Linked DNA regions of Mus musculus. The protein of the gene in region 2 interacts with the protein of the main gene of each other region in a biochemical or structural test. Links are inferred from orthologs where the notes say so. Each region holds a gene or a part of one and is shown on either strand. Other genes may lie near its edges.

Region 1 (2,868 bases), on a different chromosome or scaffold from region 2:
AGCTGCATTACAGAGCTCTCATGCACTGGGACACCAGATCCAGGCGTGCAAAAGAGCCCTATTCTGGGCCCATGTGCTTGTCAATTCCCACAGGAAAACAGGGCTACGGCAGCTGTTTGTAACTGGCTCCCCGACCCCACACCCATCCCAATGCATTTCTCCAACTAGCCAGTACATAGAGGATGCTTGTTTCCTGATGTTGCCCTGGAGGGAGAGCCTTTCCTAACAGGCACAAAGGCATTGCATATGTTCTCAGGGCAGGGCAGATGGGCGGGCAAGACCTCACCTTGGAATAGTCCAATTTGGCAGTGCTAGGCCCGGAGTCCAAGTGTGCCCGGATGAGGGAAGTGAGAAGATTGGTAGGGGAGGCATCTGGAGGCTGCTTGGGTTTTGAAGGTAGCCGGCCCCGCCGCCCTTTTAGGCTGTCTGTCCGTACAACTGCAGAGAGACGGGCAGTATTGAGAAAGGAGACCTGGAGAAGGAGGGTCTTCAGGGCACACTATACACCCCACTTCTGAGAAGTCAGAGACAGAGAACTCAGACCATGATGGGGACCCCACAAGGCCCTCCTCACCCCACCCTTTCCAGAAAGCAGGTGGAAGCTACACCTGCATTTAGGGGCTGGAATCTAGAAGTGGGAGTGGGAATTAGGTGCAGATCCTGGTGAGCCCGGCTGTCCCACCCCATCAGGTCGCCTATGCCGAGGGCACCATCTTGCCACCCACCTTCCTTCACCATGCCCACAGCCAGGCACTTCTGGAAGCGGCAGAACTGGCAGCGGTTCCGCCGCCTCTTGTCCACAGGGCAATCCTTGTTTGCCAGGCAGATGTACTTGGCGCTTTTCTGTACTGTGCGCTGGAGGAAGGGGGGACACGGAACAGGCTGTCAGAGCATGGGGTTTGGGGGGGGGGTGGAGAGCCCAGGGGAGGGGACCGTCCAGATCCTGTGGCCGACGCAGACAAAAGCGCCCTCTGTTCATAGCTATTTTCCTAACATTTGGATGTAGGGGAGGGAGAAACGGAGGGCCAGAGCGCAGAGAGGAGTCTGGGAGATACTGGAGAAGGTTTCAACCTCACAGGGAAGATCCCAGAACCCAAGACCAGGGTCTAGGAACTCCCACGGCCGTCCAGACACCTGTTCTAACAGGTGTCTGCATGTGTCCACCTGCCCTTTTCCTGGCGCAGAGGAGAGGACTAAGGGGGTGGAGGTGGGGGAAGCCAAGCAGGCACCCAGCACTGGGACAAACACACAGCCTGTTCCCAAGTCCACCCCCAGCAAGAACCAAACCCTCTGCCTGTGTCCTTTCATCCAGTGCCAGAAACACAAGTTCTGTGGAGAACCAGAGGCTGCCCACTAGGTTTTCTGTTTCTGAGCACCACTGCAGGCCACACACACACACACCTTCTGCCCCCTTCCCCAGCTTTCTGCAGCCCTAGAGAGATGTGTGCCCTGCTGAATAAAAAGTCCCAGCCTCTAAGATGGCACACACCTGTCCCCTGTCCTGCAGGACAGAACCAGCTGGGAAGAAACCTCAGGAGAGGTCACTACAGATCCCAACGGATGACCCACTCCACCCCCACCTCCAACATGATATCATCGTCCCCCAGAACCAACAAAATACCTTGAAGAAGCCCTTGCAGCCCTCACAGGTGCGGACCCCATAGTGCTGACACGAAGCATTGTCACCACAGACTGCACAGCGGCCCTCGCTGCCACCTGAAGCCCCGCTCCGGGACTTGGTGGAGGTCACGGGTGCGTCCAGAATGCCGGAAGTGTCACGGTTCGGAGAGGTGGGTGCCAAGCCGGGGAAAGCTGCTGGCATGGAATAGCTCTCCCCCTCCCCAAGCTGGTGGGTGGCTGGTGGTGGGAACAATTTCAGAGAACTCTGGGCCAGGCTGGGGCTGGGGCCAGTGGGAGGACTGAAGGAGAAGAAGGTTGGAGGTGGCGGAGGCCCTGAAGAAGCCTTAGGCAACTGCTCTGTCCATGCCCAGAGGCCTTCATAAGTCTGGCTCGGGGAGAAGTGGCCAAATGAGCCGTCCCAGGGAGAAAGCTGGGACGGCTGGAAGTTGGGTGTAGATGGCGAGGGGGCTGAGCAGGGACTGCCATAGTACTCAGAGCCGCTGGAGGATAGGGTCTCATCTAATGGGCCGCTCAGGGTGCCCGGGTAGCAGCCGTACACCTGGAAGTCCTCAAACTTGAAGGACGCCGAAGCGGGGGAGGTGGCCGAGGATGAGGAAGAAGACGTGGAGGAGGCAGAGGAACAAGCTGAGGAGCACGGCTGGGTCGTCCCCGGCAGCTGGTAGAGGAAGGTGTCAAACTCTCCGGTGTACCCGTCCATGAAGGTGCTGAAGCTGGGCAGTGTAGCAGGTGCGGCAGGTGCTGTCTCGGGGCTGGCCAGGTCCATGGTAGGCTTGCCGAACTCAAGGGCCAGGGGATCACCGGTCAGGTGGTCACGCGGTCCTGGGCTCGTTGCTGGTGTTCCATATTGAGCTTGAATACAGGGCATCTCTGGAGAGGGAGGAGACACAAAGGAGGGAGGAGGAGGGGTCAGTAAGGGAAGCAAGAAACTTGGTAGGCCGGGGAGGGGGGTGGGGGGAGCCAGGTGGCAGGCCTAGACAAGGAAGCGGGTGTCAGGACCAAAGAACAGAAGACTCCCAATCCCTCAGCCCAAATGCTATCTCAACGAGTCACAAAGCTCACAGGCAGAGACCAGGTCCAAAAGAGCTCAGTCCGACGACCAGCCACACCCCAGTGGGCCGGGGGAGCTAGGAAAGGCTGTCCAGCATGTCCCCCCAGGAACAGGGGGAAGCTGTGTTCCTCCAACCCCCAGCCTCCCTGTTCACAGGTCAGGGCTGAGAGAGGCAACCC
Region 2 (4,409 bases):
AAAGCTTAAATCACACGGTAAAATATGGAAGCTGAACCTCCCAAGATCCCAGAAAACTATCACCCCATAGATGCTCACCAGTGTTGTGGATACGAATCATTTTAACTTGTCAGGGCTGGAGACGCCACAGCTAAGTGGACTCCATTACCCCTTTCATAGGCACCCTAGATGCAAGTCCATTCAGCAGTAGAGATCGCAAAACTATGTAGAATGCAGGTAGAGAAAAGTAAGACATACAGTGGATGCAGACTTCTAAATCATCGCATATTCGTTGACGGACATGTTTAGGGTGCACACCCACCATGCCCACTGGGGACTATGGCATAGACAGACTGGATTCCACAAACATCCACGAATACCTACCTAAGCTTACCTTTTTTTTTTTTTTTTTTTTTTTTTTTTTACAAGCTTAGCTATGATTTCCAGGAAAAGGAGCCGTGTTGTTTTTCTTTGGGAAAATGTTCCCAAGTGAGTTAGAAAAGGTTTGCCTGCGTCCTCTGGTGGAGCCTGCATGTCTAGATGGACCTTTTAAAGTTTGTTAGTCCACCAGAGGAGCTAAAGATGCATAGGTCAAGAGGGAGTGTTGGAGGTCTGGTGCTTACACAGGACCCAGAACATCTGCAGCAAGCTACTCAGACGAACTAACTCTGAGAGTTACTGGAGGGATGCTATTATCTCCAGATCCTACTGGATCAAAAATGCTGGATTCTTGCTCCCTCACAGCCAGCGGGCAGGAGTTAACACAGTGTTGGCAGGGTGTGATGTACCCAGAGGAAGAGAGTGAGAGGTCAGGGGAGCAAAGCTACAAACTCGACTTTATTTCATCTGCTCAATGGCCCATTTTGACCCAGAATCCACTCACACCCCAACCTGCGCATCTTGGCCTTGAGATCAAAGCCCAGACTCATTCAACCAGACATGCACCTACCCAGCCTCCGTTATCCTGGATCCAGGTGTGCAGATGCCGGTTCAGGTACTCAGTCATCCACAGGGCGATGTTGTCCACCAGGGGTGACATCTCCCTGTTGACGCTCTCCACACACATGACCCCACCGAACTCAAAGAAGGCCACAATCCTCCCCCAGTTCACCCCATCCCTGAAGAGTTCCTCCACCACCGTGGCAAAGCGTCCCCTCGCGGTGAAGGGCGTCAGGTGCAGCTGACTGGACATCTCTGCGAAGTCACGACGGTAGCGACGAGAGAAGTCATCCCCAGCCCGGCGGAGGGTCAGATGGACCACAGGTGGCACAGGGCTGAGCGCAGGCCCAGCGGTGGCAACGAGGGGCCTGAGAGGAGACGTCCTGGCAGCCATGTCCCGGTGCACAGCGGGCATTGGGTTGCTCTCAGGCTGGAAGGAGAAGATGCCAGGGGTGGGGGCAGCCCCCAGGGGCGCCGCGTCCGCATCTCCAGCATCCCACTCGTAGCCCCTCTGTGACAGCTTATAATGTATGTACTTCATCACGATCTCCCGGTTATCATACCCTGTTCTCCCGGCTTGCGCCATCCTTCCCCGAAAAGAAGCTGCAGGTACCAATGGCACTTCAAGTCCCGACTCCCGCCCCACGGCCCCGAAAGAAAAAAAAAAAAAAAAGAATAGTTATAATCCAGCTCTTTTATTGGATGTGCTTTGCATTCTTGGATGAAGGGGTGTCTTTAGTTACACCGAACACTTGATTCTGGTGTTTCCCCGTTGGCATGAGATGCAGGAAATTTTTATTCAAATTCCTTTCTGCTTTTTATTTCATGAGGTACATTATTTATTAAGCTTTGTTAATATCAGTCTACTTCCTCCGCAATGCTGAAAGGTGAAGAGGCGGGACGACCTAGGAAGTTAAAATCAGGTGTGTTTTCCTTTATATATTTAGGGTAAGAAAGGTATATCCGCTACAAGTTACACGTTTAAAAATGCATTAAACTGTCTGGAAATGAAATTTGCTTGAATGCACTTGAAGTAAAAAAATATTTCAAACGCGTCCATGGAAAGTTATATTAAACAAAATTCCTGTGCAAAGAACTTACTGTATTTTCTAAGGACGGCATGATCTTCTGTCAAGTTTACCCTTTTTTGGTAAAACCCAAACAAATACATAAGGCAACCACACCATCGATCTTCAGAAGTCTCCTTGTATAAGCTTCTTTACAACTTGCAATGAATCGGGAGTTGGGGTCTGGGGGCTAGGTGGAGGAAAAATCAGGAGGGTTTCCAGATTGGGTCCTCACACTCCGGCTTCACTGAGAATGTCAATCCGTAGGAATCCCAACCAGAGATCTCAAGAGCACCGCAGCGGGGCAAAAAGGCAGCGGCGGCGGCGGCAGATGAATTACAATTTTTCAGTCCAGCATTTGCAGAAGTCCTGTGATTCTCCCTTCTTCTCGGCAATTTACACTTGCACACACACGCTGGAGCGCAGGCATGGATCCGTATCCACCGGACCGCTTCAGACCTCCAGGGCAGAGAGACACGCCAAGGGGACGATGGAGGAGCTGGGGGACCGGGACCGGAATCCTCTTCTGATTAAACTCCGAAGGGCCAACGCGCTTTCCGAAACGGGAAAAAAAGCAGCTTGCTAAATGCAGGCACGGACGCGCTGGGGCCGCGGGTGCCCAAGGAGCAGCCCGCGCACTGTGTGTGGTGCGCTGCGGGAGAAGGAGGTGGTGGGGGAGGGTTTGCCCCCCCTCTTTTTCCTAAAAAGGATGACTGCTACGAAGTCCCCCCCTGGTCCCCTCTTCCGCTGCACCCCACCGGCGCACCCCGCCTCCGGGCTGCGCACCCTTTCTCCTCCTCCGCTGCGGGCGGCGCTGGCGGCCGCCTCCTCGTGCTTGCGCCGCGCAGCCCGTTCCACGGTGACGGCTGCGGCTGGGGAGGGCCTGGGCACCTCGGTGTTGGCGGCGGCGGCTCGGCGGGGACCCGGACGCGGGGCGGGAGGACGGGCCGGGGAGGAAGGGGGCGGGCGCGGGGCGGGGGGCCCGGCCTCTTACTTCATTCTCCGCCGGAGCGCCTGGTTTCCTGTACGTACGTCACCGTTCATTCAAAAAAAAGAAGAAAGAAAGCCCTCCTCTGAGCGCCCGCCCGCCGCCTCCTCCCGCCGCCCGCCAGCCGCCCGGGTTAAAGGCGCCGCGGCCGCCCCGGGGAGCGCGCGCCCGGCCGCGGCCGCTGGCCTGGGTGGCGGCCACCCGCGGGCTACGCTGGGCCCCGGACCGTGGGTGGCGCGGGCCTCCCGGGCGGCAGTGGCTCAGTGGGCGTGTGAGGGGCCTCCTCGGGCCTGCGGGGCTGGCTGCTGGCTGGACGTGCCTATAGCCAGGGCCAGGCTGTGGCGAGGCACCTGGATCTTTTCTAACAGGATGGGCACAATTGCATGGATCTTTTTCAACGTGTACAGTGTGCACGACCGCATGGACTTTTTCTATGTAGCATGTGCAGGTCACATGGACCCTTTCTAACCGCGTGCATGGAATGTGCACAATCCAATGGACCCTTTCTAACCACACATAAAGTGTGTACACAGTCGCTCTGTGTGTGTGTGTGTGTGTAGTGCAGTGTATCTACAATCATGTGGACCCTTTAAACAGTGTAGTGTATACAACCACATATAGTGTATAAAATCAAACAGACCCTCAGCTAACCATGTGAACCCCCAAACACTATGTTATCAGCTCTCAGCAGCCAGAGAGATTACCGAGACATATATTGACTCCTAAGTAGTGAGTAGTACCAATATGCTACCCTTGGGTGAAGAGAGGCAACTCCCAACACAGTCTCCAGGATATTAATTACAAATGAAAATACTTAGAATAACAACGTTAGCATGCTTGTTTCTAGGCCCTTTTGTCCAGACACCACAAGCTGTGTAACTTAGAACAGGTCTGAGTACTCCTCTGCTCTGAAGAGCATGATGTGATGTCCACAACCAGCAAGGGATGTGCCTCAGAGGCTGGTCTTTCCTCATCTCTTCTTAGTCAGACAGTGGCAGACTGATGGCAGTCGCTGATGCTCTTGGCTTGTTAAAGAATAGTCAAAGTGGTATGCGGAGTTACTTTGGAGGTGTCCAAGCAGATACCACATGAGCACCCAGGCGCTTTTAGCCTCTATCCAGGCATACCCAACTTGGTGACCAAGGCCAGACCTAACTCGCAGTGGGCCAGTGAAGAGAGGAGAAGAGAACAGCAGAAGTTTGAGTTTCAGGGACAGTTTTTCCTCTGCTCCTAACGCTCCCAGCACTGGGCTGGGGCTGGACCTCAGGGAGTGATACCTGCCACCTTTCAAGGCCATGACCCTAACACGGCATAGGTACGGTTTTGGATATCCTCAGCTCTGACCAGCATGCAACCTGAGACGGCTTCAGAAGATGCAGCCATACAGATAATGTGTCTATGTACCCACAGACACACAGTGCCACTGTCACTTGTAT
Region 3 (4,359 bases), on a different chromosome or scaffold from region 2:
TTGTTCTAGGCTTTTTTTTTTTTTTTTTAATTAAATGTGTTGTTTTTTTTTTTTTAAACTTCATGTCTATGTGCACTCTGCCTGCATGAGTGCAGTGCTGGCAGACCCCGAAGAGGGCGCCAGATTCTCTCAAACTGGAATTGCACACAGTTGTGAGCAGCCATGGGTGCTGGGGATTGAACCCACATCTTCTAGAAGAGCAAACACTAAGCCATCTCTCCAGCTCCTGCAGGTCAGGATTTAAAAAAACCCTTCCCAGAACCCCCAAGTGAGAGGTTGAGGGTGAGCCCCAGTGGTAGAGTCTCTGCCTGGCATACAGGGGCCCTGGCTTCCACTTCCTAGCTCCCTAGCACCACTCCAAAACAAGAAGAAGAAAAATTCCTGCTGGCACTATCCAAAGAAGGCTCTTTAGGAGAGAGAACAAATGCTGTAGAACTAGAGAAGGGGGAGCAGAATTAGACGCTCTGTCGGGCTGTGACTCTGCTTAGGGAAGATGTGTAGTGGGAGTTGTCTTAGAGCTGCTGGCACCCAGTGCAAAGGCTGTGTGGCTCCAGGAAGGTGACTCAGCCTCTCTGAGCTGCTGTTACCAGCACTGGAGATAAAAAGCAACCTGTTACGAATTGTGTGTGCATGCCAAGTATGAGCCAGCAAACAAAGTTCACAAATACACCGGCATCAAGCCATCTCAGAAGCCAACCACACAGCACAGGCCTGGGAGACCAGTGAGCCTGAGACTATGAGTCAGGAGAATTCAAAGTGCAGACCCAGCTTGGACTGGATCTTGAGTTCAAGGCCAGCCAGGATTTCACAGTAAGGTTATGTCAAAATAAACAAATAAAAACCAGCCATTAATGTCCTAATGTCACTCCCAACCCACACAGAAGGGGAAACTAAGCTCAAGAGACCAGAAGTCCTTGGGTCAAAGTGCCTCCAACCAACCCAGCACACTTACCCAGAATGTCCAGCCACTCTTCCGGGGCTGGGGCTGGGGCTGGCTCAGGCTCTGTGGCTGCCAGGAACTCCCGAGCCAGGGCTCCAGGCTGCTCAGCCTCCTCCACTGTAGGCTGTCCCATGTCCTCTAGTGGTGGCAGCCCACTTAGGTCATCTTCCTCCTCTGCATCATCAACCCCATCGAGCACCTCAAAGCCCTCCAGCAGTGGGGCCCCAGGAAGTCGCAGGGCAGCAGGCTCAGAGGGCTCAGCCCAAGACGCCATGCTGCTGGGATCAGGAACTGGCCCTAAGGGGACAGGCAAGTGTGACAGTGATAACCCCATCTAGGCAGCCCCTCCAACTCCCTCCAACTGCCATCCCTCATGTAGCTCCCTTTCATTCATCGTATATTCGCTGGGCATCCTACCAACCTGGCTTGTTGAAAGGAACACAGACCTCACACGCTGAGCCACAGACTGCAGCTGGGTTAGCTGTTATTATGGAATCTTTATAAGCACAGAAAGTAGGGAAACCCTAGCTTACACAGGAAAGATCCAACAAGCACAGAAAGACAAAGCCCAGCCAGGCATGGTGGCACACGCCTTTAATCCCAGCACTCAGGAGGCAGAGGCAGGTGGATTTCTGAGTTCAAGGTCTACAAAGTGAGTTCCAGGACAGCCAGGACTATACAGAGAAACCCTGTCTCGATAAACCACCAAAAAAAAAAAAAAAAAAAAGACAAAGCCACTTAGCCAAAGTCAGAAAACAAGCCAATTAACAAGAGGGTCAAGATCGAAAGTTATTGAGCTGAATGTCAAGAAAAGGGTGTTGGGGTAATTGAGGCAGTGGGGACTGTCACTGAGGCCTTGGGACAGCAATCTTTATAAGTTTTATAACTTATTCATTTGAAAAAGGTGAACTTTTAGTAGAGGTTCCTGACTCTGGCCACCTTCTCTGCTAAAGGATCCAGCAATAAAGGATTGGTGCTAGAAACTTAATGTCTCTTGCTGAATCTCCCAACAACAGAGACGATGGCTCCAACCTGCCTCTATCACCAAGTCTGCTTCCAGCTTTTAATCGTAGTAGGGCACTGGGGAGATAGCTCAGGCAACAGGGCACTTGTCTACCAAGCACAAGACCCGGGGTTCTAACCCCAACGCTGCAGAAACCATGTATCAGCAAATGCCTTTCATTCCAGCAATCGGGAGGTGGAGGAAGGATGACCAGGTATTCGAGGCCATGGAATTCATGAGTTACATGAAATCCTGACTCAAGAAATTGAAAGCATAAGCTAGGATTGTAATTCGTTGGAAGAGCGTTCTCCTAGCAAGCACGACGCTTTAGAATTAGCACCCCTGTAAACCAGGTGTGGCAAGGCACGCCTGTCATCCAGCTCTTCGGACAGGAAGGCCAGGAGTTCAAGGCCAGCCTGAGCTACACACCCACTTGAAGACTAGCTTAGAATACTGGAGACCCAGTCTCAAATTAAATAAAAGCGAAAGAGTAGTGGGAACACCAATATGGACTCTTGCACCATCTCGCTGGCCCCAGGCCTCTCTGCGGAGGCCCCCAACCCAGCTGTAGAACCCTACGTCCTATCAGGCCCTCTCCTTAAGCCCCAGGAAGCCCCGGAGCCCTGCGTCCCTGCCCTGCGACCCTCACCTGCGGGGCTCCTTCCGGGATCCGGCCCCGACCGGAGACCCTCCCGCCCCGAGCCCCCACAATGCCCCGCGCGCCCCGCACCCCAACGCCGCCCCGCGCCCGGTCGACACTACCGCCCCGGGAGGCCCAGCCTCCCGCAGCCTCGGGAGGCCTTGGCCCCGGGAGCCTCGGCCTCCTCGCTACGCCCCGTCACACGTGCCTGCGGCTCGGGGACCCCGCTCGGGGTCCTGTGCCCCCTCCCCGCCCCCAGCCGCGGCCGCCGCGCCTCGGGAAACAGCTTCAGATACGCAGCCCCGCCCCCGCGCACCCATTGGCTGTTCACACCGCGTCTGCCGTGTTTATTGGCTTGTGCACACGTCCGTCTCGCGCCCTCGACACCACCTCCTTCCTGGTAAGCTCCGCTGGCCGTTTCTTAAAGGGGCTCTAGCCTCTAGGTGGAGGGGCTGTTGGGAGTGGGAGATGGGAACGCACTGGGCGCACAGTGGGAGAGGATAGCAGCACGCCCTGATTTGAGTTCATGCTGGGGCAGGCTTCCTCCTGCTTACATACGAGGTAGAAATAAACAAGAAACACTGTAGCTCATGCGCGGTCATTTTCGGGGCTCTTTGGAAAACAATAATATTTCATAATTTTACTTAATACTTTATTTCATGTCCTCCTTCCCCTGCCCCTCTCTTTTCCTGGGGCGTGGTGAGCAAGCCTCTCTGTGTAGGCTTGGCTGTCCTGGACGCAGCACGTTTACCAGACCAGGCTGGCCTTAAACTCATGGAGATCATACTGCCTCTATCTGCTCCTGGGATTAAAGGTGTGTGCTACCACACCCGTCTCAACTATTTTATTATAGCATTCTCTTTTGTTTCATGTTTTATATTGTATTTTAGTTAGCCAGGGTCTGACCATGAAGCCCAAGCTGACAGCAAAGTGTTTAGCTTGCTTGTGAGGTTCTGGAGTCTTAAAGAATTATTGATTTAATTTTATTAGTACACTGTCACTGTCTTTAGACACACCAGAAGAGGGCATCAGATCCCATTACAGATGATTGTGAGCCACCATGTGGTTGCTGGGAATTGAATTTAAGGACCTCTGGAAGAGCAGTCAGTGCTCTAAACCACTGAGCCATCCATCTCTCCAGCCCCAAGGTTCTGGGGTCTTGTGTGACTGCTTACTAAGTTACCTTGAAGGTACAGACGGGGTCAGGAAGCCAGACAGGGTGCTTGCCTGTTGTCTCAGTACTTGACAAGTGGGGCACTGAGGATCAGAAGTTCACGACCCGGCTTGGCTACATTGCACTGTCTAAAAGAACAGTAGCTGAAAGCTGAAGGGCAGTCACCTGAGATACAAGGTTTTCAGTAACTGCCTGCTGTCCATGCAGACTCTGCCAGAAGGTGCTAAGGTGTCAGGGAGAAAGCAGGGCCTCTCATTTGAAGGACCTTATCTACTCTCCCGAGCTGTCACCTTTCAAGAATGATCCTGTAATTCTTTCACTTGATATCAAAGAAACCATGGGCTTGTTCCAGTTCTGAGGGCTTTGAACCTGGCTACATCTGAAACCCAGTGGGGTTTGTTTTTTGTTGTTGTTCTTTGGTTCTTGTAGTACTTGAAATTGGATCTGGGACCTTTGCACATGCTAGGCAGAAGCTCAGTTAAGCAGTGTAGACCTCAATATCTCTTTACATGCAAGGAAAACTATATATTATATATGGAATATATATATGAATGAATGAACATGCGCCTCCCTGGTACACAAGTGAATGCCAAAGGATAATT

What was found.
Region 1: the proteins of Bcl2 (region 2) and Nr4a1 form a complex in vitro, tested with the Homo sapiens proteins (2 studies listed by BioGRID). The link is inferred for Mus musculus from reciprocal best matches to the Homo sapiens genes BCL2 and NR4A1.
Region 3: the proteins of Bcl2 (region 2) and Fkbp8 form a complex in vitro, tested with the Homo sapiens proteins (4 studies listed by BioGRID, with this or other methods). The link is inferred for Mus musculus from reciprocal best matches to the Homo sapiens genes BCL2 and FKBP8.

What each region holds. Positions count from the first base shown.
Region 1 is NC_000081.6:101,269,723-101,272,590, reverse strand, and holds part of Nr4a1 (nuclear receptor subfamily 4 group A member 1), read right to left. Parts: intron 2,509-2,868; coding exon of another isoform or gene 2,507-2,508; coding exon 1,622-2,506; intron 856-1,621; coding exon 726-855; intron 439-725; coding exon 287-438; intron 1-286. UniProt on the Homo sapiens protein: Orphan nuclear receptor. Binds the NGFI-B response element (NBRE) 5'-AAAGGTCA-3'. Binds 9-cis-retinoic acid outside of its ligand-binding (NR LBD) domain.
Region 2 is NC_000067.6:106,711,377-106,715,785, forward strand, and holds the start of Bcl2 (apoptosis regulator Bcl-2), read right to left. Parts: upstream 2,915-4,409; 5' UTR 1,505-2,914; coding exon 929-1,504; coding exon of another isoform or gene 905-928; exon of another isoform or gene 789-904; intron 1-788. UniProt on the Homo sapiens protein: Suppresses apoptosis in a variety of cell systems including factor-dependent lymphohematopoietic and neural cells. Regulates cell death by controlling the mitochondrial membrane permeability. Appears to function in a feedback loop system with caspases.
Region 3 is NC_000074.6:70,526,269-70,530,627, reverse strand, and holds the start of Fkbp8 (peptidyl-prolyl cis-trans isomerase FKBP8), read right to left. Parts: upstream 2,886-4,359; 5' UTR 2,792-2,885; exon of another isoform or gene 1,362-2,791; intron 1,238-1,361; 5' UTR 1,215-1,237; coding exon 953-1,214; intron 1-952. UniProt on the Homo sapiens protein: Constitutively inactive PPiase, which becomes active when bound to calmodulin and calcium. Seems to act as a chaperone for BCL2, targets it to the mitochondria and modulates its phosphorylation state.